4 linked regions of the Drosophila melanogaster genome follow. The protein of the gene in region 1 interacts with the protein of each later gene in a pairwise test. Each region holds a gene or a part of one and is shown in the gene's direction. Other genes may lie near its edges.

Region 1 (7,330 bases):
AATAAGCTCATCTTCTTCCGCATGGCCGATCTGGATCCACGAACGGTGTGTCTCGACTCGGATGTCCGTTTCCCCTGTTGACTCATTGATCCACAATTGTGCTATTCCCACAGCGGAATTCTGTCGAGGAGACCAAAATCTTTGTCATGATGAGTGATGCACGATTCACAAAGCCGGATGTAGAGCGAGAAACAGGAAGCGGAGCTGATTACGTACTAGACGAAGCGGACATTGCCGAGGGCGATGTTCAGATTGTGGACATTGGGGGCTACACCCTACGCCACCTGGCCTACGTGTCCATATTCGTGCTGCGTGTTTACATGAAGTTCCTGCAGGAAGCCTATCCCTCGCGACTCCAGGCCATGCATGTCATCAACTGCCCCACTTACCTGGACAAGCTCATATCCATGATGTCGCCCTTCCTAAGGGAGGAAGTCCGCAACATGGTAGAACCTGAAAAGTACTTCATTCTAAGCACTAGCTAACCAAATCGTCTTGCAGATCCGGTACCACACAGAGGGTATGGATAGCCTTTACAAAGAAGTGCCCAGGGACATGTTGCCGAACGAGTACGGCGGCAAGGCGGGCACTGTAGCGGAACTCAAGGCGAAAGGCATTCAGTCCATCAGGGACAACGCGTGAGTATTACCTTTAGATGGGGATGTCCATCTTAGCCACCCATTCTGTACTTCATAGGGCTTATCTCAGCGACGAGCGGTACTGGAAGGTGGCCGCTCAGAGCAAGAGTCGGTGGTCCTGGTTCTGATATCCTGATCATCGAACGTGATATAAACATAAATGTGATCAAGCATCGCGTCTTGCCAAGCGAAGATATCGATTAGTTGGGAAAGTCCCAGAAACACTTACAGGTTCTAGAGCTCAGTGAAGCTGGCCCTCCATTAAGAATTCTTATTTTCATATTTTATTATTTTCTTACCAATTTCTCTATTATCAAATAAGGGGCTATTGTCGATTGATTGACAGCAATGGGAACAATATACTTGACAAAACAATAAATTATATTAATTACATTTTATGAGGTTTTATTACACCCAAAAGCCAGGTGGCTTTCAATGTTCTTCTATGATTACAAAAAACAAACGCTTCTTAGAAAAATTGCCCATCCCGCGAATTATCAATTAAAGTGAAAATTGTGTCACTACTTGCGATGGCATTGGGATGCGGCACACGACCAGGTGATTAGGCAGATCCAGAAGCTGGAACGGAACATATTTAGGCACTATTAAGCGTCGTCCAAACGATGGCCGAAAAGCCATTAAAAAATTACGTGGCTTTAATTGCCAACGCAGTAGCATTGAATATTCAAAAACTAAATCGATGAGCGAAATCGATGCGCAACTGTCAGTCAGTCGGCTGCCAGGCGTCAAGCCCAAAGGTTTAAAAGTGATTCGAAAGCGTTTTTGAAAGTGATTCGAAAGCGATTGCTGCGTCCGATAGCCGATAGCAGACCAACCTGGCGGAGGGAACAGCGACGGAGCAATCGATACCCAGGCCACAGCACCAATGAGCCGCATAGGTGTGAGAGAGACTGGGGCGAGCGGTACGTCCGAGCAGCTGCAGCGGGAACAGGATAGCGACACATCGGAACAGGCGGTGCGGAAGCAGGAACGGGATCTCAAGGAGCTCCTCGAGTGGTTCCGGCAAAATGACAAGCTGCCCAAGGAGATTGGTAAGCGATGAGCCCGAAAACCGTGCGGGAATCCAACATCCGTTCACTGCCCATCAGTCCCATTCCACCTCCCACCACCCACCGTCCATTAATTAGGTCGTTAGTAGGCCGCTCCGCTCGCCGCCTTACGTCACTGTAGTCAATTGTATACAAACAGTGAATGTACAGGCAAGTCTCCCTAAATCGAACCGCACTTCCCAATTCAATATGTCCAACACGATGTTTGAATTAATTAATATTCCCGTAATGTGCAAAGTTCCATGGGCTTAACTCCTTAGCAAAAACTTCATTGTATCGTACCATATGTGTATTAACAGATCCGCTGCTGCTCCGGCGCTTCTACCAGTGCATGTTTGGAGACGTGGAGGAGACTCGGAAGCTCATCGAGGTGAACTACGCCCTGCGCAACCGGCACCCTCACCTGTTTATCAAGAGGGATCCTCTAGACGCGGACAGCAAGCGCACCTTTGACTACGCGTAAGTGTGTCCTTATTGGGAGAAAAGATTCCCTTTCCTTTGAGGCAGGGCCATGTTCCAAAAACATACATACCCGTATACCCCAACACTCGAATTTCAGAGACATTCTACCGCTGCCTGGCCTAACGCCGGACAAATGCAAGGTGTCGCTGTACTGCTTTCGGGAGTTCGAGGCCTCCAAGGTGAGTAATAGCTTCTCTTTGCTGTAGGAACTTGCGCTCCATACCGCCGATTGCTATCCCCAGATGCACCACACGGAGGACACGCGCGCCTTCTTTATGGTCAGCGACTGCCGGTTCGTGACGCCGGACGATCTCGCCAAACCGGATGTCCTGTCCGAAGGAGAGGTGCAGATATTCGACATGAAGGGCACCACAATGCGGCACATTTCGCGGCTGACGATCAGCACGCTGCGCGCCTACATCAAGTTCCTCCAGCTGGCATTTCCGGTGCGCCTGCGCGCCATTCACATGATTAACTGTCCAACTTACCTGGATCGGATCGTCAGCGTGGTGAAGCCGTTCATCAGCGACGAGGTCTTCAAGCTGGTGGGTTTCTTGAGAAGCCATTATGTCTCTAATAGCTTCATCTCACCATTACTTTCTACACTTTAGATCCGTTTCCACACGCAAAGCATAAATACGCTGTACGAGTTCGTGCCGCGGGAGATGCTGCCGGAGGAGTACGGCGGAGGAGCCGGGTCCTTAGAAGCACTGCGGACCCATACCCAAAAGGCCTTGGTTGAGCATCGGTGGGTTTCGATCTGCATGTTATAGTTATTCAGTAACGCCTCGTTGCCTTTTGTAGCGACTATCTGATGGACCCCGATCACTGGGTGGTGGTGAAGCCGGAGAAGCGGAACGAGAGTTCGTGGAGATTTTTCAAATGATTACCTAGAACATCTTCCACGGTAGCAAGGAGTCTCCTTCAACTGAAGACGGTTAAAAGTGTTTCAAGTGTATTGGGATAAACAGTTCCTGTGGCTTTTCATCTCTTAAATATCCATTTTTTTTTTAAATTTGTGTTGAAATTGCTCAAAAATAAATAAGTAAAAAATGCGTTATCCGTTTTATTTTTAACCCAACAATGTACAATTATTATACTAGTATATATTTATGGAAATACAACAAAAAAAGGGATTTAATTGAAACACACATTCAAAAGTAGAATGCGCAAAAGGCCAGTGGAGACAAAAAGCGATTATCGATAGCGAACTATCGAAATATGCCTATCGTTATCGCACGACGTTGTTAGTGGCATTATTTATTTTGTTGCGATTTAGCGTTTTTCCAACATAACATTGCTAAGTGAGGGACCCCGAATCGCACAGCATGGAGCGGCCACAGAAGATGCCCAAGGTGGCCAAGGTATGTGCCATCGTCGGCAATCCACCAAACCAACTTATCCAATCCAAAATTTCACCAGGTCAAAAACAAAGCGCCGGCGGAGGTGCAAATTACGGCGGAGCAGTTGCTCCGTGAGGCCAAGGAGCGAGATCTGGAGATTCTGCCGCCGCCGCCAAAGCAGAAGATCTCCGATCCCGCCGAGTTGGCAGACTATCAGCAGCGGAAGCGAAAGACCTTCGAGGACAATCTCCGCAAGAACCGCATGGTAGTCAGCCATTGGATCAAATATGCTCAGTGGGAGGAGCAGCAGCAGGAGATCCAGCGGGCGCGCTCTATCTGGGAGCGGGCGTTGGACAATGAGCACCGGAACGTGACCCTCTGGCTGAAATACGCCGAGATGGAGATGAAGAACAAGCAGGTGAATCATGCTCGCAATCTGTGGGATCGGGCAGTGACCATCATGCCGCGAGTCAACCAGTTCTGGTACAAGTACACCTACATGGAGGAGATGCTGGAGAATGTGGCAGGGGCGCGACAGGTGTTCGAGCGCTGGATGGAGTGGCAACCGGAGGAGCAGGCCTGGCAGACCTACGTCAACTTCGAGCTGCGCTACAAGGAGATCGACCGGGCACGGGAGATCTACGAGCGATTTGTCTATGTGCACCCGGACGTGAAGAACTGGATAAAGTTCGCCCGCTTTGAGGAGTCTCATGGGTTTATCCACGGCTCTCGGCGGGTATTTGAGCGCGCTGTGGAGTTCTTTGGTGACGACTACATCGAGGAGCGCCTGTTCATCGCCTTTGCACGTTTCGAGGAGGGTCAAAAGGAGCACGACAGGGCGCGCATCATCTACAAGTACGCTTTAGATCACCTACCTAAAGATCGCACACAGGAGCTGTTCAAGGCCTATACGAAACACGAGAAAAAGTACGGCGACAGAGCGGGTATTGAGGATGTGATTGTTTCCAAGCGCAAGTACCAGTACGAGCAGGAGGTGGCCGCCAATCCCACCAACTACGATGCCTGGTTCGACTATTTGCGCTTGATTGAGGCTGAGGGCGATCGGGATCAGATCCGTGAGACGTACGAACGGGCCATTTCCAACGTGCCGCCTGCCAATGAAAAGAACTTCTGGCGACGCTACATTTACCTTTGGATCAATTATGCTTTGTACGAGGAGCTTGAAGCGGAGGACGCGGAACGCACGCGGCAGATCTACAAGACCTGTCTGGAGCTAATACCTCACAAGCAGTTCACCTTCAGCAAGCTTTGGCTGCTGTACGCCCAATTCGAGATCCGCTGCAAGGAGCTGCAGCGAGCACGCAAAGCTCTGGGCTTGGCCATCGGCATGTGTCCCAGAGATAAGCTCTTCAGAGGCTATATTGATCTGGAGATTCAGTTGCGTGAGTTCGAGCGCTGCCGCATGCTGTACGAGAAGTTCCTGGAGTTTGGACCGGAGAATTGTGTCACTTGGATGAAGTTTGCCGAGCTGGAGAATCTGTTGGGCGACACGGACCGGGCGAGAGCCATTTTCGAGCTGGCGGTGCAGCAGCCGCGCCTGGACATGCCAGAGCTGCTGTGGAAGGCGTACATCGACTTCGAGGTAGCCCTAGGCGAAACAGAGCTAGCCAGACAGCTTTACGAGCGACTCCTTGAGCGGACGCAGCATGTGAAAGTGTGGATGTCGTTTGCCAAGTTCGAGATGGGCCTCAGCCACGGCGACAGCGGGCCAGATGCGGAGCTGAACGTGCAGCTGGCAAGGAGAATCTATGAGCGAGCCAACGAGATGTTGCGTCAGCTGGGAGACAAGGAGTCGCGTGTTCTGTTGCTAGAGGCATGGCGCGACTTTGAACGCGACGCCTCCGATTCGCAGGAGATGCAAAAGGTAATGGACAAGATGCCGCGGCGCATCAAGAAGCGGCAAAAGATCGTCTCGGACAATGGCGTCGAGGAAGGTTGGGAGGAGGTATTCGACTACATCTTTCCCGAGGACGAAATGGCTCGACCCAATCTCAAGTTGCTGGCTGCAGCTAAGATGTGGAAGACACAAAAAGACAACACGGTGGACGACCCGCCCGCTACAGCTATTGCATCTGAGCCAGAACCTGCAGCTGATGCTGCCCCAGCGGATACGACGGATAGCGGTGACTGATTCACTTCCGCCTAAAAATCGTTGCTTTTGAACAAAGCTAAATATCTGAAATTGCAGATTTTTCGCTTTATTTTTGGATACCTTAGTAATAAACCACTTAAATAAAAAACTATAATGATCTTTTTTTTTGTTATATTATCTGATATATTTTTCTGCTATTGTGCTTTAAAATTTTTCTCCCCAAAAAGAGATTATAAAGTTCTTACTTGGCCCTCAGCAAGAGTGTGAAAACAGAGTATGTGAACCTCATGACCTGGAATCAAGTGAATCATATCATATTTGAATCAAATCAAAGGACATTTGAATATATAATTGTGCCTTGCCTGCTCGAAGGTCTCCAGCGAGAGTGCGATGTAGTTGCCTGCGTAGATAAGAGAAGGCCGCTGCGTCCTGGCCAGGGTGAAGAGCAGTTCGCGCTTGAACTTGGGCAGCTGTTCTATCCAGTTGCAATCGTAGAAGGCATCGCACAGCGCCTCGCTCTGTGTCCGCATCCTGTCCCCAAAATAGCAGATTACAAACACCTCCAAGGTGACGGCCGAGAAAAATACAATCGAGATGATCATGGCGGTGTGGTCGTGGTCATCCGCTACGTACAGGAAGTGCATGGCGACGGTACACTGGACGGCGGCGGAGCAGACGAACTGGGCCATGCAGGGCACTGAAAGGACCCGCTGAATGATCTCCCTCAGCCGATGGACCCGCGCCAGATCGCGGATGCACTCGATGAGTTCCTGGTACACCTCCTCCCGCCAGGCTTCATATGTCTGCCCTTTATTGGACTTTTCCGTCCTGCAGCCAATCCGCCGCACCCTCAGCTCCAAAGCACGCATATGACCCGTGAGCAGGCAGAGAAACGCAGGCGGATAGGAGTCACTAGCGCAGTTCTGTATAGCCTGCACTATCAAGCCGAAGAGCTGGTAGATATTGATGAGCACATAGTTTCTGGTGGAGTGCATCCAGTCAACGCCGAACCAGGCCGGATACAGGAGCTCTCGATCCGGGCGAACGACCACGCGGACGCAACTCAAAGTAGTGCCAAATACGAAAATACTGGCAAAGGTGCGGAAAGTGCCCTGTGCGATATTCACTTCCTTCCTCAAGGCAGAAATCTCCTCGGGATCGCCCACCAGCCGGGCTCTAGCGTCCATGAGCCTTAGGAGAGAGCGAATCTCATGGAGCTGCTTCCTCACCATGTACACATTCGCAAACTTCAAATTGGCCACAATATCGGTAATAGTTATGGTCAGGTTCTCGCACAATCCGGCCATGTTGGTGGTGAACAGCAGCCTGGCCAGCAAGCTCAAGGGAAACAGCACGGTGACCACCAAGTTGACCGTAATGGAGTATACCACGTAAAGCAGGCTTGAAACGCCCGGAGGACGCATCAGGCCAGTGAGCTCCCAAACGCGCCAGTGGTAGTACACAGCACTGTGGGTGTTCAGTTTGAAATCCTCTTGCTTCTCCATTGTCTCGGTTACCTTTGGGCAAATCCATGGGTTCTATTGCCTATATACTCTTGCGATTACCAGTGATTGCGCTATTAGCTATTAGATGGATTGTTGGCCAAACTTGTCGCTTAAGTGGCTGGGAATTGTAACCGTAGGCCCGAGTGTAATGATCCCCCATAAAAAGTTTTCGCAATGCCTTTATTTTTTGTTGCAAATC
Region 2 (5,717 bases), about 16 Mb from region 1:
AACTGGAAACTCTGATGTGGAAAGATTGCACTTAACCCTAAATGAACATATGCGATTGTATAATGCTGATCCAAACAATTTTGACACTATTCAAGAAAATGTTTATAAAGCAATTGTTTGCTATAATAACACAATTCATTCAACCACAAATATTAGACCGATAGATTTATTTAATAATATACTTTGTCACGAAGACATCTCTAAACTATCCGAAAAGCTAGTAAGAAACAAACAAACTTTAAATGCAAAACAGGATAACATAAACGAGTCAAACTTCTCAAATATATTTGTAAAAAATAATCAAGTAGGAAAATCAAATCCAAAATATAAAGAAATAAGTAATTACACTCAATACGGTAACTACTTGATTAATAATAAAGACAATAAACGAAAAATCTATAAGGATCAGGTGAAACGGAAATATAAATATCAAAATGAAGATTGTGAAACCTAACATTTCTGTACTCCTATTATTTACATATGTATTACTTAATGAAATAATTTCAACCACATACTTGAAACTTACGCTGGGGGAGTCATGTATACCCTTACATACCCTCTTATTAGATTAAGTTATGTTAGAATACACATGGCGCTAAGCTTTTTGTCTGAGCTTAGCTTTATTTTTAGTCAGTAGACAAGAAGACCTCGATCTGTACACATCATTGAATAAACCCTCAATTTGTTAAGCGAAACCTTTCGTTTTGTTTTAACCCCTCTTTAATCGACAAAGAAGTCGATGGGTGCTTAACTGAGGAGTTCAATCCTTCAACCTACAGACGACAACGAAGTCGTTTCTGGAGGCAACGATCTTTTGGACACAACGGTCTCTGCTCGGAAGGCCCTATCAACCTTCCACATAACTATATATGTATGAAATCTTTGAAACTTGGACTTAAAATAACTAACAGGTCTAACCTTCAGTTTGCCAATTAAATTTGGTTATTTTTAGTTACTCATATATAGTAGATGTATTCAATTAAGTTAATCCACGGCTTCTCGCAGTGCAGATATGGATATTGAAATGGATGCACACGTGGCCACTCAAAGGATTCGGGGCTCATCATGTATGTTTGGACTGCGCTTCGCTGTGGCCAGTTGAGTCCAACCCCCACCACCCATCCAGTGACCTCGTTCCCATCAGCATCATCCTCGTCCCAATTAGCCGCCGGCCAACCAGGGCAATTGTCTCCGTTCATTGATGCACCACTCGGCGGTGCAAGTGGTGGTGGACTCGAGCAGAGGATGTCCATTCCCATGGATGTCTAATAATACCCCAACAATCGAAGTCCGTCGCCGTTGCGACTGCGACTGGCTGCTCGGATAAATGGATCCGCCAGTGGGATGTACGATGGCATGGGACGGATTATATTAACTCTATAAACAGATTCAATGGCAGCAATTGTGTGCCAATGCGAAGGCGGTCCGTTCAAAGCAATATTAATGCATTTATTGCACGTGAGCTCGGCGGCGTGTTAAAGATGAGCGTTGCCGATTAGGAATGACCCATCATTAGCCATGATGAATCTGGTAAGTGGGGCCAGTTAACTGACCAGCTAGATTCCACGGAGCACGTGCCGATGGTTTATTAGTAATGAAATGCTGTTGGGTCATATAGGATGGATTTGGGCTAATTAAGCAACTAACTAGAGTACATAACTCGAGGCCAGAAGTGCACATTCAAACTCTTCTTCAGGCAAATCTAACCCTCGTAACTTCGTAAGCCATAATCACCATTTGATAAGCCTGAAATGCATCCACCCCTCTAAAAACCAACAATTATCATCACTTACAAAATTTATTCTTGCTTGCCCTAAACAATTCCTCTTATCAAATACCACGAAAATTTACGCAAAAAAAAAGGTGTGTGAAAAAAAAATGAAAATACTAGTTTTGGAAGTCCTTGGAATAACAGCTCATCATCATTAGAAGCTGTAGTTGAGATTGCCGCTTGAGAAGCTCACATGAGAGACGTCCGGCGATTGCTGGTAGGTGGGGGATCCCAGCACGGAGGACATGGGAACGGCCATCCCATAGCTCTGGCGGGTGGTGGGCGCCAACTGGCTGGTGGCGAACTGATGGGCCACCGACTGCTGCTGGTCACGGAGCACGTCCTGCTGCTGCTGCTGCATGAAGCCCATGTGCTGTTGCGTGGAGTAGAAGTCTCCACTTGCTCCCCCTCCCAGACTGTTGGAGCGCAAAGGCGCTGATCCGATCACTCCTCCCGGGATGACTCCAACTGGACCTCCTCTTACTGGACCTCCGGGCACAATGGATCCGGATGCAAGGCGCTCGGGCTGCAGGCCATTGTTGCTGAACTGCGGCCGACGGTAGGCGAAGCGGCCAGCTGCGTTCTGTGCTGCCACGCCCGCCGGAGCGCCTCCCACATCGGCGGGAGCAGCTATCTGGGGGGTTTGGGGTTGAATCTGATGAGCCGGTGATGTTAGGCCGCCGGATACATCGGGATAGTAGTGGTAGAGCTTCTGCAGCAGGTGCTGCTGCTGCTGCTCGAACTCGGCTCGTTGGCGCTGATAATCGAGGAAGGCGGCGTGCATCTGGTCCGCATAGCTGGGCATGTTGACCACGCCACCGCTAACGCCCACTCCTGGTCCGGATGCAGCTGCTACCTGCGGCGATGTGGCGGCCAGGAGTTGCTGCTGCTGCTGCGCCAGGAGCTGCTGTTGCTGCTGTTGCTGCTGTTGCTGCTGTTGCTGCTGTTGCTGCTGTTGCTGCTGTTGCTGCTGCTGGAGCAGCGAGTTGGGCGTGACCTTCAGCTTACCATCGGCCCGGAATCCTGGCTGCGAGTACACGGCAGGATACTGCTGTCCCGACGGCGAGAATCCACCAAATTGCGTGGGAGTTTGCTGCATAGGTTAGAGGAATAAACGGATGAGAATGGAAGCTAAACCAGGACAATTTTATCCTTATTCTGAACTGGCTTAAATGATATTTAGATGAGTGTCTAATGTGCGCAAGTAGTAGGCCGTTTTCGATGTGTAACTTTTGATTTCGTTTTGTAAAATATTCATACAATTGAGCTTATAACACGCTTTCCTTTACTCACGGATGAAAGGCCACGCCCGTGATTCTTGATAATTGAGTGCTGGGAACCCAGGCATCCCTTTCCCCACTGTCCCTCCGCGTCAGCCAATCGACTGGCGTTGCCCCCACGAACTTTGCTGGATCTCATGATTCCCTGTTGTTCCGTTTGTCGCGATGTAAACTTAAAAGTTTTGACGAGAGGTTGTGTAGCTCGAGTGTGGATAGCCAAAAATTGATTTTCAAATTCAGATTTTGATACAATTTGTTTACGAAGTCTGTAGCGGGAAAAATTGTAAAACGAACCGATCTGAACCGACTGAGCGAGCAAGTGATACTGACTGGATAGCTCAACCAGTCCGGTGACACCTGACAGCTGTCGTCGGGCCAATCCGAAAGCCTACTGTGATCTCTACTAGCCATCGGTGCCATGGTGTGGATTCAAATCGATATGTATCGAAGGGAATCACGCGATTCGATGGCTTAAAAAGCGCGGATGCAATGCCGCAACCTTACAGTTAGAAACGATGAATCGCCATCAGCTGGCACTTCTCCTGGTTGTCGCGGGTCTGGCCATGATTGCGGCCAGGCCAGGTCCACAGAATCCGCTAGAGTCGCTGGGCATGGGCGCCATGTCTCTGGCCGGAAATATAGCGGAGGCAGTTCAGAGTGGCGCCGCCATCTCCCGCGACGTCGACATTGACAATCCCCTGATGTCCGTGCACTCGAAAACGGCCGTTGGCTATGGAGATGCCATACGTCCCATTGCCACCGATTCATCCGAGGAGGATCGTCGTCGGAAGCGAAGGCGGCGGAGCCTGCATCGCCTCAAACGCGCTCCTTGCTTCTGGAAAATGAGCGCTGCCGCCACCACAGCGGCGTCCGCCGACGATGACGTGGAGGCCAGACGGAGACGAGCTCAAAAGCGGGCCGCCAACAATGCCTCCCGATCCCGAGTGAGTCCCAAGACCACTGGCAAAAAGAACAAGAAGTTGGTGCGACGACGACGGCAGGAGGAGAAGGGCATGGAAGTGACACAGAATATGGACGGAGCGGATCCCTTGGGCCTGGGCACCAGAATCAAGGCCATGTGGCTTTCGTTTGTGAACAACGTAGCGGATGTGGTGCAGCAGGTGCGCCAGAAGATCACCGAAACGGCCAACTCCACGGCGTAGAATCACCGAGCTCCCTGACGACCACCATCGAGTGTATTTTTTTTGTTTGTTTATAAGTGCAATAAAATCAACTGAAAACCGGAAACTGTGTTGAGCGGCATGTTTTCTGGGTTGGCCAAAAACATTACGATTACGTCTTCATTCAAATATGTACTATAGATTACATCCATTTTAAGACCCCATCATATTATCAATGTAGTAGCCAATTAAGGCCAATCACCTTTGGTAAAAGGTGACCCCAAACGGCATTAGAGTCAAAAAAAACGTGTACTCCGTCTTTAAACTACAAATGCTTGTGAGCTCAACTAAACATATCACCAAGGTGACCCAAAACTTGGAATCCGGTTACCATTTTAAAGTGGCATACCTTTAAGAACTCAACCTTATTTGTTGCTCTTTAAAAAGGTCACCGCCGAAGAGTCACCCCCAATCGATAAAGATTCCTCAGGCAGAGGCAATAAAGCAAAAAGCGAACTGTCATTTCTGAGCAATCCGATCGAAAGTGGTCCGAGGAGAAGGCCATTGGGGTCACCACAGCAACTCGACTACTGAAGGCTGTCCAGATGGGAGATACGGAAACGAGCCGAGTCACGATGAGCCAACGGTCAGTGGGCACTTCCGGGCCAGATGAGATGCATCTCGACATGCATTTCGAACATTTCCGTGTCTGGTCGAAATCTGATTGAATTAAAAAGGCTGGGTACAAAAGGCGCATTCAGGTGGCTGGGCACAACAGTTGGCCAAATGATTTCCGGACCCAGATTCTCTGCCCTACTAATCGTGGCCCTGACCCTCGCTCTGGTGGCCCAAACTTGGGCCGACGAGTTCGATCTGGACTACTCCAACGAGTACGACGATGTGCGACCGCATTTGGTCTATCCCGACGATCCAAGGCTGGACAAGCGGATCGGCGATGCGGCGCGGGAGTTTGGACAAAATATAACCCAAGCCTGGAACGCGATGGTGGACTCGTTTAAGAACTACTTTGAGGAACTCAAGAACCTTTTCTCCGACACCACGGATCTCGATTCACCCAATGAAGTATTTTCTAACCGCTGAAATGGGCGTTTTACTTTCGTTTCGAGCAAATAAAGCGTAGCAAAGAATTTAAAACATTCATTTGATTTGGGAAATATCATCCGTTGAAAGCCAACTTGATTGCTTTTGATTTAGGTACATTTCCAAGCGGGTATTTATAATTATTTTTTGAATACTACAAAATGACAATACTAAGTAATATGGTATACATCTGCGGATGATAACCAATTAGGCACTGAATGATTCGGCTTAAAATGCTTTTCCAACCAACAAAAATGAGATTTTTTCATCTCTGGTTTAATTAGATCTGTAAGCCACTAAGCTAATTGCCAATAACAACCTCGCATGCTAACTAAACCAGATGCTAGATGTTGCATCTAGATTATGTAAACATGAAAACATATCTGTTTTTCGCGTAATTAAGCAGAATAACTAGAAAGTGACAGGTTAAATAGCTGGCTTTCT
Region 3 (7,643 bases), on another chromosome or scaffold:
AGCATTAAACATGTTCCTAAATTCAAAATTCTATGGATGTCCAGTCATATCGGCATCAAAGACAATGCAACAACCCTATTAACCGTCAGAAATTATAATGGCACCGATATAAATATTTATAAAAAAAAGGCCAACATGACAAAACCAATTAGATTAGGAATTCATCTCCCTGATACCTACCAATCTATAACCCCAAATTATCGAAAACATTACCGATGATACCAAACACTGTAAAAACTATTATGTACCCAGAAGAGAAGAGAAGAAAAGAGATATCACAAAAATCGTGAGGCTACGTAGGACACACCAGACTGACCCATGAGCATCGATTCTCCCAGCCAATCAACCGTCAATGCAATACGTACCGAAATCAATTTCCCACATCCTAGACGATTGCATCGCCCTCCAAACACATGGATCCAGAAAACCAGAATTCAAACCAAAATGCTGTGGCACAAAGATCAAACATAATACTACCAAAATTGCTTCACTTGGGTGAAAAGTGAATCCTCGAACATATCTGGGATATCGATAGATATTGGGGAATAAAAGGAGGACAATTTAAAAATTGTGACCGTTTTGGTCGATTTGTAGGTTTTAGGGCGTTAGAGTGGGCGTGGCAAAAGGTTTTTTAGCAAATCAATAGAAATTTTCAAGACTAATAAAATTATATAGGCATGGCTGTTTTGTACGTTAGGGTTTTAGAGTGGGCGTGGCAAAAATCGATACTCGAAAATATACTTTATATGGTTGGAAACGCTTCATTCTGCCTATTACATACTTTTCAACGAATCTAGTATACCCTTTTACTCTACGAGTAACGAGTATAATTATCTTAATATATCTTAATATCTCCTTTATAAAGGTGTTAATTTTGTGCACAAAAAGTGGGTAAATTTCCCATAGTGCAATGGAAACACCATTAAAGCGTCGTGTAAAAAAGTTGGTCAATTTTTTCTAATGGTTTGTACTGTTCCGGGATGGCACAACAACTTGGAATCACATTTATAAGTTTTTTTTGTGAATTGAAAAACTAAACTTAAATCGCAAATACATATATCAATAGAACAATATGAATGTTCTTACTACGTAAAATAATAGGCAATTTTCCCTGGCCCCTAACGGAACCGAAGTCGCCCTACTCAGCTGATTTTATCCCAATCTGACACGCCCGTGACATGCTGTTGCCTATCCGAAAATATTTGTGTACCACGGATTACATTGCAGTAATGGATTTAATTTAAGCTGTGGACCGCGTTCGACTCAACTGCAGATTCATCAGCGCCGAGAACGCATACTGATAAGTCGAATCAGAATCAGACAAAGCGGTATGCTGCGTTCTGCTGAAAAAGGAAAGGGAGAGCGAAAACACGGATGGCTGTGTTGGTGCGATTGATAAATACGAGTTCATTCTTAAAGCTTATTTTTTAGATGACCAAGCGGGAGACAACAACGAGTAAACAAGAGCAACAGCAACAGCGGGCAATAAAGTTGATTGCAGCAGTGGCAAATTGAATATTTGCCAGCGCGCGTGTGTGTGTGCGCAGCCTTTTTGTTTGTGCTTGTTCGCATTGTTAAATATCCGCACCAGCAGTGCAGCCAAATGGGATGATAGATGCCGAATGCCGAATGGCGCGCGAGCAGAGCGAGTGGCTACCATTGTTAATCCGCAGTTCGTCCTCTGTGCCCCTTGCCTCCTCCCTCGCTCATTCCTGTGCCACAGCTCAGCTTGCTACCAAAACTCGACCTCGACTTCATCCCTTGCTCTCTCGGAACTCTCATGCTCAAGCTGTTGCTTCAGCTACAGCTCAGCGTACAATTGTTGCTTTGCGGAGACTGCGCTCATTGCCGGGTGCTGCCAATCCTGGGTGCAATCCGTTCATTATTTATCCGGCTGGTGGTAAGCAAATAGCGCTCACAAGCCACTTAGTGCTATCACTCTTGGATTAATCACTGGGCACGGCTCGGCGATAACGTGTCACTGCCACAAACGGAACCGCAACGGCGATAAATATTTTTCACAGCGAAAATAACACTGCCTAACAAAGTTTGAAACACTGTGACTAGAACATTTCCAAACTTCAGCTATTTCTTCAGCTATCAGTTATATATTTTAGAATAGATAAACAGAATATATATAATGCCATTTATGTAATGATTTCGATGAATAGATAGATGGCTAATATTTTACCGGTACTCCACCAAGGTGTTTTAAAGAAGACGGCTTTAAAGGTTTCCTATAATATACATTTTTTTATTAAATTTCATTTTATTTATTTTAAAATGCGTCCCGTTTGAGTGGAGGATATGTCTAATATAGTCCTAAATAGATACCAAGTAAATATCTTTTCGTATCACTCCACACACACACAAAAAGTTGAGTTTATAATTACATTATTCACGCAGCCCTCTAGGCTCCCTCACTATGCCAATTTCTTTTGTTGTGTAGTGTAATAGCATAGGATTGGCAGCCTCCGATTGTTTACACCAGCGTAGGCGGCACTGCAACAACAACAATAGCATCCTCTGCTCTCATTCTCTCTCCCGTGCTTTGCGCTCTGGAGCGGAGCAGAAAAGAAAAGCGCCATTCGCTCACTTTCTCTCCGGCTCTCTTTGTGCTGCTGCGCCAATTTGCAAGAAAACTAAGTTGGTTTGCTGTGCAGTTGTGACAATCGTCGAGGAGAGCAGCGGCGCACTCTCTAAAAGGAAGCTGCCAAGCCAACGAACGGCCAAGCGAGAGGTGACAAGTGAAAAGTGGCAAGTGGATGTACCAAATAGTGACAGGTTCACTAGTAGTAATCGCAAGTTAGCTGCCCGTTTGGCTGCAGATTTTCGTCAAAGTTCGCTATTCGTGTTGTTTTTTGATGTTTTCGTCTCTCTCGGCTGTCCGCATAGGCAATGTGTGTATACATATACGCGATTTCACACTGACAACAGGGCCGGGCGCGTGTATGAGTGTGGTTATTTTGCCGTGTTGCCGAACATCTGTATCTGTATCTGAATCTGTGGCAGCCAATAGTTGTGGCAAGGCCCTCGAGCAACTCGCAACACAACACATAACAACAGCATCCCCAATAAGTGGCAGCAACTACGCCGCATGGCAAAGCACCAACGGCCGCATTTGTTGTTAATTGAAATAAATTGAAATAAATTCCCCGACTTTGCTGCTCATATTGTTAATAAAGAGAAGCCGGAGCGACGCAACAGCGAATCAGCAGCAGTAAACAAAACTGTGAGCAAAAGGTTTTAGTTCCATTCCAGGCGTCAGACGACTTTGAGTACAAGCGACAAACAACCAGAACATCTAAGGAATTCCGAGCGAACAATGTGAATAATGTTGGTATCACAAGCAATTGGTGGCAATAACCAAAAAGAGCACATGCGTTTATTTATAGACCCCAGTGTGTTCCCATTAGTGAGTGTGTGGCGTGCTGTGCACTGCAAATGAGTTCAAGCTGCAGCCAAAGAGAAGGAGGCGTCCTACCAATACCAATCCTTGTGTAGTCTTGTTCCCTCCACAATCAGATCGGTCGCAGACCAACAGTAGCAGCTGAAATTCCTCGATCGGCACACGAAATCGTATGTAAATACTTTCCTGCCGAGTCAGCCTCTCAGAATGCCAATGTTTACAGTATTCGATTATTGTTTAACTAACAGCCTCTTATGGGAAAGTGGAATACATACATTAATTGATGGGGGAGGTGGGGGTTGGGGTTTGTAGGGTCTGCTATAAGCAGATTTCCCGTATTTGATTTGTCCCCTCTGTTGTCTCAGTTTCAGTGGGACCCATACTCCCGAAAATCAATTGTATTTAACTGTGCGTATGCGATTTCGAAAACAAAAACACCCCTCCTGCTGGGGTCATTGCACCCAAGGTGCGTGGGTGCGTGTGTCAACACTTTTGAACCCCTAAGCACCCACCCGAGAAATACGCCGAAAAGTATGCAACGAACATGGCGACCATCAGCACAAGCAACTTTAACGATTTTCTCACCTCATTTCTATACTTACTTTGCAGCGCAGCATCCGGCGACACAGGACATGCGCAGTGGCCTTTTTGGTAGTTGCATTTCGGCCAACAGCGACTGAAAGAGCAGAGAGCGGAGGAGCATGGCCTTTTCCCGCCACAACATCGAGAAGCGCCGACTCATCGAGCTCGTGCGACTCAACCCAATCCTCTGGGACTGCCGCCTGCCACACTACAAGCGTTCGGACAAGCGAAAAGCCATCAAATGGAACGAGTTGGGGCGGCTCTTCAACGTTAATGGCGAGCGGGTGCAGCGCACGTTTACTTCGCTCCGCGAGATCTTCCGCCGCGAGCTGAACCACGAAAAGATGCTGGGCACCACGCGCTTCAAGTCCAAGTGGGAATACTACGATGCCATGGCCTTCCTCAAGGAGGTCATTCGGGAACGCAAGTAAGACGACGTTTGACCTGCCCTAAAATACTACCTTATGATATATGTAGATCCCGTTTAAGGGATTTTGGACATTCCAGTTATTTGTTCTAGTGTCTTTGGAAAAAGGGTTTACTAAATTCGTTGAAAAGTGTGTAACAGGTAAAAGGAAGCGTTTTCGACCATATAAGGTACATATATATATTTCTGAACAGGATCAATAGCCAAGCCTCGAGCTCAGGAACTATAAAATACCACACTTTTGAAAAATGTTTTCATTTTTCTTGGTTTCATTTTTTTTATCTTACCGATATACCAAAAACACTTTGGCTACGCCTCTTCTGAAAAATTCAAACCGCTCACAACAATTTTAATTCCCCAATATCTATCGACAAGCAAGGAAAATTATAGAATTTCGCGTTCGCACTAGCTGAGTAACGGGTATGTGATAGTCGGGTTTTCGACTACAGCAATTGTGTTCCGATTATAATCACTGAAAAAGTTGTTTGAGCAAATTCGGAGAGAGGTGACCGCGAAATAATCACCGTCACTTAAAAGCCTAAACATATTTACATATTCAACATTTAGATTTTGATTTTACGCGATTTTTAAGTTTTTATTGTTATAAGAAGAATGATTAGTGTAAGGGATTGGGAATATAAATGTCGAGATAGTTCTCAAAATAATACGCAAGTCACCTTCCTCGGTTACAATAAATTTACATTGATTTTACTGAAATCAAATCAAATAAAAACTAGTTAAAGAAAATAACTGTTGTCTACCGAATAAGAACAATGACGCAGATAAGAATATAAATGTCTAGATAATTCACAAGGATTGTGTGCAAGTCAAATCTAAATTTAAGCATTTAGGAAGGGTATACATAGAAATTCTATTAAAACTTTGAATTTGTTTCATGTGGTCGGTCCAGAACTGACCAACAGGCAAGAATGAAATGCATGCCTGCGGATCTGCATCATAGCACCTATCTGCTAACCTTGAGGCAAGCACCCGCTTTCCAAAAAAGCTAATTACAACTTTTGCTTTTTAGATCTCGCGAGCGCATCAAGCACGGCTCTTTGGATTCAGCACCAGTAGCCACAGGCAGCAGCAACAATAACAACAACTGCGTAAGCCGCAATAGCAGCAACAACAACAGCAGCAGTGCGGCCCTAGACGAATATCAGTACTTTGCTCCTAGCGACCCCAACAACCCGAACAATCAGCCCCAGCTGCAGCCCGAACCAAAGAGTAGTCTGCCAGTGACTATTCCCAGTCTAAGTCTCACCCTCAGCCAGTTGCCGGTGGCTCTGCAGCAGCAGGCCCAGCATCTCCAAGCCTTACAGTTGCAACCGGACGTGACGCTGACTTCCCTGCAGAAACAATCTTTACCCACTTCCCTTACCAATGCCACACCCGCGCCCTTAGCACAAACCTCGCCCGCCCAGGTGCTGTCCAGCTCGCGCTCATGCAGCTCTTCGCCCTCCATCTATATAAAGGACGAGCCGTGTTCTCCGGCAGGGGGTTGTCCGGAAGAAGTGATGACCGGAAATGGACCAGAGGCGACAAGGAAGAAGCTGGCCACAATTCGTCCGCAGACCAAACAGCAACTTAAAGCGCGTCTGCAGCTGCCCACGCCCAAAAACTCATCATCGTACGCTACGTCGCCGCCCCATTTGATCATCAATGCCAACAACGAGCTTATTGACACCGACGCCGGGGACCTGGAGGAGGATCTGGACGACTTCGACGAGGACGACGACGTGACCGGACGCTGCTCACCAATCGTCGGCCAGTCGGAGACGATGGGTGCCGACGGCAGACTTTCGGTCGGAAGCATTTATATCGGTGACGGTGGCGACTGCGGAAGGGGTATGGGTAGAGCCCACACTCAGGCGCGACACGTGCCTACCTCCAGAGAACTGCTCTACATGAAATTCGGTGACTTTCTGGCCGCCAGATTGAACACTTTGCATGAGACTGTAGCTAATGAGCTGATGAACAAGATGCTTCTGCTAATTGCAGAGAAGTGAGAAAAGCGGGGACCGATGTCGCCTCTAAAATTATTGAATTTAGAGTTGCGTAAGGTAAGTGCATTCAAATATGGAAATGCCATCTTACACAATCAGCTATCAAATAAAAGCGTGTAAGTAAGATTGCCTCGGCAAGCTGATGCTTTACAAATTACGGATGACTACCGAATAAGAAAAGAACACTTTGATTTCTTTTCTATGATTTGCAAATAATTTTTTGACTTCGCCTACTGCAGCTATATTATAAAGTCGTCCGATTTCGATCAAGTTATACCAATATATTGTTAAAAATATGGATCATACCGAAAACTAAGGGAAGTACAGTTGTGTATTTCAAAAGCTCATATTGTGGCTATGTAATATAGTTGTCCAATCCCGTTCCAACTGAAATACAAACTGGCAATAGAAGGACTTACATCTGGTTTTAAAGTTTAATATAACAAACTCATTACGATGTTTATAAAAATTAATTTTAAAAACAGCCTTTTCTTTAATAAATAAAGTAAAAATATGAACTTCGGCGTTATCAGTTAACTGTTAACCTTAAAGCTATCTGCATAAATATTCCCATTAGTTTCCAATTTGTTTCTCCAATATCTACCGATATTCCTTTTTAATATGAAAATTGACCTACTATGTCCTTCTTACACATTACATTGTTAATTTTGTTATCACTTTTTGGTGGACTTATCGATTTATCTTTTCATATACAACACATTGACTATTGAATATTTCTGCCATAGAAAATGTTTCAAAATATTGGAAATGAAATCATATTGTCCATTTGTTACCATATTTGTACGAGTGTTTGCATACTTCAATGGCTTGACGAAGCTAGCTTACGTTCTTGTTTTTAAATTGAAAATGAAATTTACTAGTTCTCCAGATTGCCAACCTATTCATACAAAATATAAAACGTAGTGTTACTTTCTTGTAATTTCCACTAGCTGAGTAATGATCTATGATTACTTTAATATTTTAAGGTAACAAACTTTATAAAATTATAAATAAGTTTGTTACCGCATTTAACATTGTTAAGCTTGTTTCCTCTTGGGAAAAGAGTGTTCTTATTAATTGCAATATGTTGTGTGTTTGGTGCTTGCGCCGGAAATTCTTGAACATCGTGGCTCGCTGTACAAATTTATTGCTCTGACCAATTTATTCAGCAACACACACATACTTAAATTTTGAGTTTAATTTACACAGCAAATAC
Region 4 (8,613 bases), on another chromosome or scaffold:
AGCCACCTTTTTACGCAGCTGCATTTGTGCAGCTTTTGTGCAAAGCTTTTAGGTGAATCTGGCATTATTAATTTCGACCATATGCAAGGCAAAGTGAAGGTCATTCGGTTGGGTGGACGCTGCGAGTGGGTGGCGCACAGTCGATTGCCGACTAAAGCAATCAGTGCCGATTCGAGAGCCCTCCGAGTCCCATTTGAAGCCTGTTACTGGCCAGCGTGCACAGTTACAGACCAGTCCCAAGGCCATTAGGCTGGGCGGTTCTCTAAGGGGTGGCTCTACGCACACTGGACGGTGGAGCGTTTTTGCAGGTGTCACGTTTTATTTTTAGCACCAGGCCAGCACGAACTAGTGTACGTATGTGAGGAGTATGCGATCTTCTAGCTCATAAGCAGTACATAGCTTCAATATTTAATGCTCACAATCAGGCTGAATAATTGATGGACACATGTATGAGCCGGAAGGAGTTGGCTGCTTCATGTGTACTGTTGGTTTTTCGTGTCTGGCGCACGGCAATTAACTTGTTTAAGCCACAAGGTAAACATGACAAACACATTTGTCAGAGTCAGTCGTCACTGTCAATGCCAGCGGTTTGATGGATAGATGGCTGGATGTTTGGATATCCTGGCTGGAGTGAGCAAAAGCCTCCGAGGACTCGGGATGTCTACACAAAGCGGCAATGCAAACAACACGATTCGGAGGATGTATTTTACCTAGAGCTGATGATTTAAGCCACGAGTATCCTTCCGTTTTTAGGCGCCAAATAGAGAAGCACTGTTGGTTACCACATATAATATATATGTGCACAAGTTGGTTGTACGTTTCACTTGATATTCACTGCATTCGTTACAAAAACACACAACGAGCGTCGGAATTGGGGTTAAACAAATTGGAAAACAAACGGAGTTCAATAACAATGAGTTTCATGCGATTGAAAATTACTTTTTTGGTTTTCTTTGTTTTACAGAAAAAGCGCGAATTAAATGTTGCGTCCATCAAGCACGAAGGATAAACTCTTTCTGATTGAAAAGTAAGCGAAATGAGGAAATTCCCTTCAGCTGGCGAGAGCTTTTCCCATTAGAGCTTTCCTCTCTCAGTTGCTCTCAGTTGAGAGAGATTATTATCCTGCGTGTGTCAGAATTTGTGCAGTGAAATTCCAAGGAAAGCCGCACAAGAATAAGGAACAGAGAGCAACGAGAGAGCGAGAGAGAGAGAGAGCAAAGCCGGTGGAAGGAGGCAACTACTGAACCCACCACAAACCATCCCCCTCAGCAGCATCCGCTCTCCTCCTGCCAATATAAACAACCATTTGGGATCTGTTTCCAGCTCTGTGTGAGTGCGCTATATGCTAGATAAACAAAATATTAGGGGTGTATAATGAATGCTTGAGGGTTTTTTGGAAGTTGCCCGCTGCTCCACTTGGTGACAAATTGCTGAAATCTAGTCGAAGTGCGAATACGCTTTTGTTGTTTTTGTACGCAATGTAATGGAATTTTGTGACTGCAATGTAGAAAAACAAATAATATATTCCTTAAATCATCCCAAATGAAACAAATAAAAGTACAAAGAAAATTAGAAATATTCAATCATACATAGAAACATTTGATAATAAAATAAATCTTGCACAGCAATTAACTAATCGTAAACAAAACATTAATATAATTTCTTTTAAAAATATTTTTCGGCTAGAATAGATAAATTTGCTCAAAATTTAAGCCTTTATTTTAAGATCTATAACTTCGTTGCCCTCCATATCCTGGTTATTGGGCGTATCATTTGGATCCAACAAGTCACCGTCAAAACTGAAATCACCTCAAATTCAGTGGATTGTCTCTACTTTTTCCAGCTTTTAGTACTTACAACAATTTAATGGTTCGGGGATCACAGTTCAACTCCTCAGCACACTTAATAAATATGATTTTGAAATTATCAGTTTTCTTCATGGGTATCACCAAAGGATGCTTCCATTTATCCGCCTGTACTTTAACTTGAAACTTCTTAGGTTTCCGGCAAAGAGCTTCTGGATTGTAGTCAATTTTAGCAGCCACGTTGTTATTATTGTGACTCTTTGTTGGATGGCCAGCTGTTAAATAGTTGAGAAATTTTCAAATAATAATATATATCTGAATAGAGGACACCTACTGAGCGTATGAAATGATTTGAGACCAATGCTGTGCGGCGTATCCTCAGGTCCAACGAAGTTATAGTACATATCCACCGTTATATCATTCTCATCTATCCCATTGCGTGATGCTAACTCCTTGAACAGATGCTTAAACTTTTGGTGCTGCCGCAATTTATAAATCTGGATCTCGCCAAGCCTGCATAAAAATATTTATATTAATCACGAAAAAGGATAAATATATTAAAACTTACCACGACAAAGCTACTTCTATTGTGGGATTATCGTTATCAAAAATATTTTCTTCCTCTACGACAGGAGGAGCCTCCTTTTCACCCTCGTCTTCAGAGTCTAGATTAACCTGTGAAGAAATAAGTATAATATTAGCCTTATTGAATAGTACAACTTCTTTCTAGGGACTTACAAATCCCTCCACTCGGGGAGCGACCGCAGATACCAGATCAATACTGTCCACCACTTTGGAACGGGCTGCAACTTCGGCCAACGTCCACCGTCTGCTAATGTGCTCATTGTTCTGCTACAAATATGAAGAGATTAGAAAATACCCAAGATCTCTATTCGAAATTTCAAACATACACCTACAATGCTTGGCAATGAGACCTCCATCGAAGCAGAGTTGCTGGTTGTGGTTGTTAGAGATGTTCTCTTTTTTTGGCCGCGCTTCTTTGGTTTCGTCTGTGTGGGCACCTCCACAGTCGGTGAAACAGGTGGTGGCGCCATTTCTGACCTATTTAACGATGACCGTGTGCGTCTGGCCACAGGACCAACGTCATTTTCTTTGGCGTGCTTCTCCACATCCGATTGCTGGCCATTTTTCTTTTCCATCTCCAATATCAACAGGGATACCGGTGATAGGGAGCGCTCTGTTCTCATATCCTCTTCTGGCTCCACAGCCTTATGTTCTGCCTGTTTTGGTGGCGAAGCATCATCCTGACTTTTGGGTGGATTTTTCCGCGTCGCTGCAGGGTTCTTTCGTTTGCCAGTTTTAGTTGATTTCTTGGGGAGGTCTTCAATGAAATCGTAGTCCACCTCCTTGGAGAAGGAATCATTGCCAAGATTGTAAGGATTCTTGGGCAAAGCTGATAAAGACGACAAAAGCGAAGGTATGTGGAAAAACTTGGATTTCTGCAGTTTAAAGCTAACCTATTTCGGGAATCCGCTTGCGAGCAGCACTGAATATATCGCAGTCGTCGTCGGACATCGTGGGCACTCAGTAACAGTCAGTAATAAACCAATAACGGCGCCAAACAATAAACACAAACACAAAACCAAATAGACGCCACAGTGGTTGCAAGGAAAATCGATATCCGATAACTACTGTGACCAGGGTAGCCACACGACACGAGACCACGATCAAAGTATTTGCTGGTAGTCAAATGTAATTTACAATTCGATTTTATTTAATGTGTGTATCGATGATTTGGACATGTTAATTATTTGTATTATCACGATTGAATTCACTAAATGTTTGTACAAGCCTACTGTGACGTAGAGCAACTCTGGCCGACAGCTGTTTGGCCAGTGTTGACAAGCGCCACGCCGTCAAAAGCAAATCTCATTTAGTTTCCAACGCTGCTGGCCTGGCAAAAGCAAAAATCGAATGTATTATAATAAAGGCCCGTAATGCTATTGAAAATAACTTAGAGCCTCGCGACCAGAGGCTTTTCCGCGTGTGTGTGTGCACTTGTGCGTGTGCGTGTGTTTGCCCTTGGGTGCGTGTGTGTTTACCTGGATTCCCTAAAAAAAAATCAGTAAACTGAAAGTGAGAAAAAGAAAACGGGAAGAGACGACAAAGTCTGCCTGCGTGCCATTTTTTTCATTTCATTTTGCGTGGAATACTTTGAGACGACGCGATGGCCTCCACCAGCAATCTGCTGGACGTGGTGCGCCACTACCAGCGCAGCATTGAGAAGCACGGCGAGGACGAACAACGGGTGAGCTATTACCCTCATTGGCACCGCCATCGCATCCCTTTTGATCCACTGCTTACTGCCTTCCTATCATTCAAGTCCCCCATTTTCCTAACCATTTAATCACCCCTATGTACCTGACCTGGCTGGCTTTCCCTTACTTAACCTTGTGAAATTCGCAAACATATGTACCTCCGCCAAGGTCACTTTTCTCGACTTTAAGTCGCTCTTCTTTTCCGCTGACCTTTCACTCACACGGTCTTTTGCTAATCTTTCTTAATCACCTCTTTCGCTACCTGCTCTCCCGTCGAGCAGCTGCTGCACTGCATCACCAAGCTGTTCAACCTGCCGATCAAATTCGAGCACCTGCAGGAAACGGGAATTGGCAAGACGGTGAATGCCCTGCGCAAGATCAGCGGGGAAGTTGGCGTGGCGGCCAAGACGCTGGTAACCAAGTGGAAGGCAATGGTGGCGAAGGAGGACCCTTCGATCGCATCTACGCCTACAGCCATACATAACGAAGAGGACTCGGGCAAGACCAAGTCCAGCGACGAGGATCCCGACCAGGAGAACAAGGGCGGCAACTCATCCAGCGGCGAGGACTTGAACACCAGCAAGCACAAGTCAAAGCATGCCAAGAGCACCAAGCATGAGCGTAGCAGCAGCAGCCGATCTCACTCCAAGAGTAGGTCTGACTCGGATAAGAAGCACAAGAGCTCTCGCCACGATAAATCCAAGGATAGAGATAAAGATCGGGAGGGTCAGAAGGAAGCTAAGGAGCACAAAGAAAAGAAGTCAAATGGCGAGCACAAGTCAAAGGATTCCAGCAAATCCAGCAGCAGTCACAAGAGCAGCAAATCCGAGAGCCACAAGAGCGAACACACCAAAAGCAAGCACGAAAAGGTATGCTTTCCTCTTGATCAAAAGTGGTTATTGTTCTTATGCATTTTTTTTTCAGGACAAAACTTCTCACAGTGAATTAAAGGAAGTCAAAGACAAGTCGAGCAAACACAAATCATCGTCCTCCAAGTCATCAAAGCGCTCCCATAGTCCCCCACGCCACGAGGAGGAGTCCCAAAAAGCAAAGATACCAAAAGTTAAATCGAAATCTGAGGAAGATTCCGCTGATGGTTTTGACTCCAGCATGGGCGCAAATTTTGACGATGTTCTTGGTCTGCTAAACATACCCATAAGTAGCAAGAAGAGCAGCAGCAACAGCAAGAGCAAGTTTGTCGCCAAGCCAACTGCAGCCCCTTCCTCGTCAGCTCTATCAGCACCTACGACTGCTGGGTCATCTAAAGAGGCACTCTCAACTAGCAGTCGACCGACCTCCAAAGTAATTAGTAGAAATTCATTTTTATAAGTTGTGGTAACATATGTTTATTCTTTAGAAACCCGAACTGTTGGCATCCACAGCTAAGCTGGAGCCCTTGGATCCAAACATTGCACTAGAACTTCCCACCATATCCAATAACTACAAGCCCATGCCATTAAATCAGACAGTTATGGACGTCGTCTTTAACCAGGGTGGCTCACACAAGGCGCAAGCATCACGATACTTTAATGAGTCAGAAGCTCTAGCGCAGGGCATCTCTTCCAAAACTATGCGGTGAGCTAGGATATTATAATGTGATGCACAAAGTATATCAACTTTTTATACTTTGTAGCACCAAGATCTATTCGGGTGTGAGAACTGGTCAAATCCTGCAGGTCCCTTCCCTTTTTGATCTCTGCACCCGCGTGCTGCAAAAGAATATTGATGGTAAGATCTTACTAATGGTCATATCGAATGTAAATAACCATCTTAATTGTTTTTCAGCATTGGAGTATACGGGTGGCGTTCCGTTTGAGGTCCTACGTCCCGTTTTGGAGCGAGCTACCCCCCAGCAGCTGCTTAACTTTGAGGAGTACAATCCTTATTTAATGGATGACAGTGATGTCCTATGGCAACAGCATGTCCAACGTCACTGTCGCAGTCAGCGGCGTGAAGAGATGGAAACGTGGCGCGAAATGTTTTTGGTAGGGACGCAAAGACCCTAAATTAATGCAAACTAAACTAAGCTGACACAAAAATTTCGTTCTAGCGCTGCCAAGAGGAAAAGGATCGCAAACTTAGCATTCTGGCCGAGAGCATCAAGGCATCGCAAAAGATAAGCGAGGCGCCTGTGCGCAAGACGCAATTGGCCTTTGTGGACTCAATGGTGAAGCCGCCGCGTAGTGTGCAGCGCAAGCAAGAGCAATATGGCACCAAGGGCAAGCTAATTGCCACTCCAGCCGCCCGAGTGGCCGCCTTGTCCAGCGTGACTCCAAATGCAGCCAAGGTGGGCGATGCCCGACTACGTGTGCTGGCCGCTGCCAGGGACACGGCCCAAGTGGGTAAGTATTGTAATGATTGTGGTTAAGAATTAAATTTACCTATAATTTTTATTGAAAAGGGGCTGGACCAGCGCGATCGAAGAAGGCACCTCTAATGGCGAAGACCTTGCAGTTTATGCGCGGACGTCTCAAACGATAGATGCGCTTACTCATTATAGCTACAATCTTATACTCAACTTCTTCAGCGACAACTTAAGCAGCAGCAGTAGCAGCAACCTCGATCTATTAGGCATTCACGGTGGGATTACCTTCCAACTTTATTGGCAAAGACTTTCAGGTCTGAATAAAGTGACATTGTGATACTAGACCTTCTACTTCCCAGTGCGCTGTGGAATCAGACTGCTGCTGTCGGCATGCGTAGCATATGCATGCTATTTATTATTTATTCATGTTCTGCCCTCTTTTATTACGCTGTATAAGTCACTATATTTAAGCCAACCGGATAAAGATAAAGCTTTTGTTGCATCCCGCTGGGTCGTAGACAAGCTCATTTACATAAGTTATGATATTTGATTATAGTTGTTCAATTCATTGATTGCATGTAACTTACGATCAGAAGGCTGATCACTCCAACATTATTTAAAAATTAAGTTCAATGTTCTTTGTTCAAAAGGGCTGTGCGTATGTCCAAAATCATAGAGGTTCCAAGCTGTATATAAATGTATTTACACAATCCTAAACCTATATGAAACTACCTAAATTATTGAAGAACAGTAAAATGTCTCTTAATGCATCGCTAATTAAATTCAACCAAAAAATTCTATATTACCTTTAGATTTATTTAGTTTTGCACATTTTTAGGTATTGGGTAAAATGTTAATATATTAAAAAAAATCACTTCAACAATTGAAATTCGATTCGAATGCTCGTCTTATTTTTAATAGTTACACATTTTTCAACTTTTGTGGAAATTGGCCACTCATTACTTATGCCATGACTTCGTTTTGAAAGACATTCTTTAGCTGTGACCAGTAGACGATGCAGGTAAAGGCATTACACTGTAACCAACTCGTTTTATTCCACAAGAAAGCTACCAGGATTGTTAAATCAAAAGAATTATTTATATAAAGAATTGTTTCACACGATAGTAACAATAATATACAACTTATTACAAAATAAATTATTTTCAAACATAAGTCGTCACTAGAAAGTCTAAATTCGGGCTGAACTTTCAACCGTCTTCTTTAAGTGCCGATGCAGTAGAGCGTCTTGCTGGTCCCGTAAAAAACATCGACCAAGCGCTGGCAGGAACTATTGACAGTAAGCACACGATTCGTTGTAGCTGATGATGAGCTTCCAGCACTACTGTTGTCACTGTGGAGCAACCAAAATAAATCATCATTACCAATATTAACAAATTGCTCCGTTTCCATTCCACAAATATAACTAACCTCATGGGCGATAGTTTCTTGATGTCCCACAATCGCAAGGTACCATCGCTGCACGCTGTGGCCAGGTGCCTATTGTGCGTGCTCCAGGAAAGAGAACTAATGCTCGCCGAGTGATCCTTGAGCTCAGCCAGCTGTGCTCCGGCGGCCAAGTCGAATATACGCACCTTCGTTTCCTCTCCGGCGGCAGCCAACATCTTTCCATCTGGGCTAAACGCCAGCTGGGTCACCGCCTGACGGCAGTCGGCAAAGACACGCATCAATTTTCCGCTGGTTGCACACCACAGGCGAACGGAGTGATCTGCCGATCCTGTGGCTATGTAGTTGCCATTCGGATGGAACGCAACGCACTGTCAGAAAAAAAAAATATATATAACTAAAAGTTCAAAGACATTTTTGGTTAAACCAACCTCAACATCCTGTGTATGCCCGGCATAAATTATGAGCGCATGTTCCTTCTCTAGCGACCAGAGGCGCGCACTCAAATCCTTGGAACCCGTTACCACGTATTGGCCCACTGGACTTTCGTCCAAGCACCAAATTGGGTAGTTGTGACTTCTGTATATGGCGGCGCAATGCAGGTTGTGGGCACGCCAGCACCGCATGGTTGCGTCTTTGGACACACTATACATGAGTGGGTAGTGGGCGGAGAAGCGCACATCGGTGACTCCTTTTGTGTGACCTCGCAGCTGAAATCCGCCGTATTCGTTGCTAATTAGAAAAAAAAAACTTTAGTTGATTAAAAATTGAAAAATAAAACCAATACTAAACCTGGAAGATGAACTTACTAGGAGTTATC

Evidence for each region.
Region 2: the proteins of crn (region 1) and CG6290 interact in a two-hybrid assay, tested with the Drosophila melanogaster proteins (one large-scale study listed by BioGRID).
Region 3: the proteins of crn (region 1) and CG12768 interact in a two-hybrid assay, tested with the Drosophila melanogaster proteins (one large-scale study listed by BioGRID).
Region 4: the proteins of crn (region 1) and EloA interact in a two-hybrid assay, tested with the Drosophila melanogaster proteins (one large-scale study listed by BioGRID).

Annotation. Positions count from the first base shown.
Region 1 is NC_004354.4:2,246,032-2,253,361, reverse strand, and holds crn (crooked neck), read left to right. Parts: upstream 1-3,378; 5' UTR 3,379-3,498; coding exon 3,499-3,534; intron 3,535-3,592; coding exon 3,593-5,665; 3' UTR 5,666-5,768; downstream 5,769-7,330. Other genes in the region: CG3091 (uncharacterized protein), read left to right, coding at 1-45, 114-446, 502-638, 697-766; CG3191 (uncharacterized protein), read left to right, coding at 1,525-1,690, 2,008-2,167, 2,268-2,349, 2,413-2,715, 2,782-2,918, 2,975-3,056; Or2a (odorant receptor 2a), read right to left, coding at 5,868-5,918, 5,989-7,131. UniProt on the Drosophila melanogaster protein: May be involved in pre-mRNA splicing process. Involved in embryonic neurogenesis and cell rearrangement during Malpighian tubule morphogenesis.
Region 2 is NC_004354.4:18,433,938-18,439,654, forward strand, and holds CG6290 (uncharacterized protein), read left to right. Parts: upstream 1-3,552; 5' UTR 3,553-3,566; coding exon 3,567-4,214; 3' UTR 4,215-4,296; downstream 4,297-5,717. Other genes in the region: CG32548 (uncharacterized protein), read right to left, coding at 1,926-2,864; CG32551 (uncharacterized protein), read left to right, coding at 4,959-5,273.
Region 3 is NT_037436.4:22,907,816-22,915,458, forward strand, and holds the start of CG12768 (uncharacterized protein), read left to right. Parts: upstream 1-2,675; 5' UTR 2,676-2,757; intron 2,758-3,017; exon of another isoform or gene 3,018-3,336; intron 3,337-3,774; exon of another isoform or gene 3,775-3,940; intron 3,941-4,018; 5' UTR 4,019-4,110; coding exon 4,111-4,418; intron 4,419-5,448; coding exon 5,449-6,430; 3' UTR 6,431-6,484; exon of another isoform or gene 6,485-6,943; intron 6,944-7,643.
Region 4 is NT_033777.3:23,247,884-23,256,496, forward strand, and holds EloA (elongin A), read left to right. Parts: upstream 1-3,679; 5' UTR 3,680-3,993; coding exon 3,994-4,074; intron 4,075-4,365; coding exon 4,366-4,953; intron 4,954-5,008; coding exon 5,009-5,386; intron 5,387-5,441; coding exon 5,442-5,659; intron 5,660-5,717; coding exon 5,718-5,812; intron 5,813-5,869; coding exon 5,870-6,069; intron 6,070-6,134; coding exon 6,135-6,426; intron 6,427-6,485; coding exon 6,486-6,565; 3' UTR 6,566-7,188; downstream 7,189-8,613. Other genes in the region: Rad60, read right to left, coding at 1,709-1,799, 1,858-2,080, 2,140-2,318, 2,374-2,480, 2,544-2,657, 2,717-3,219, 3,284-3,341; wda (will decrease acetylation), read right to left, coding at 7,611-7,740, 7,818-8,164, 8,225-8,525, 8,603-8,613. UniProt on the Drosophila melanogaster protein: SIII, also known as elongin, is a general transcription elongation factor that increases the RNA polymerase II transcription elongation past template-encoded arresting sites.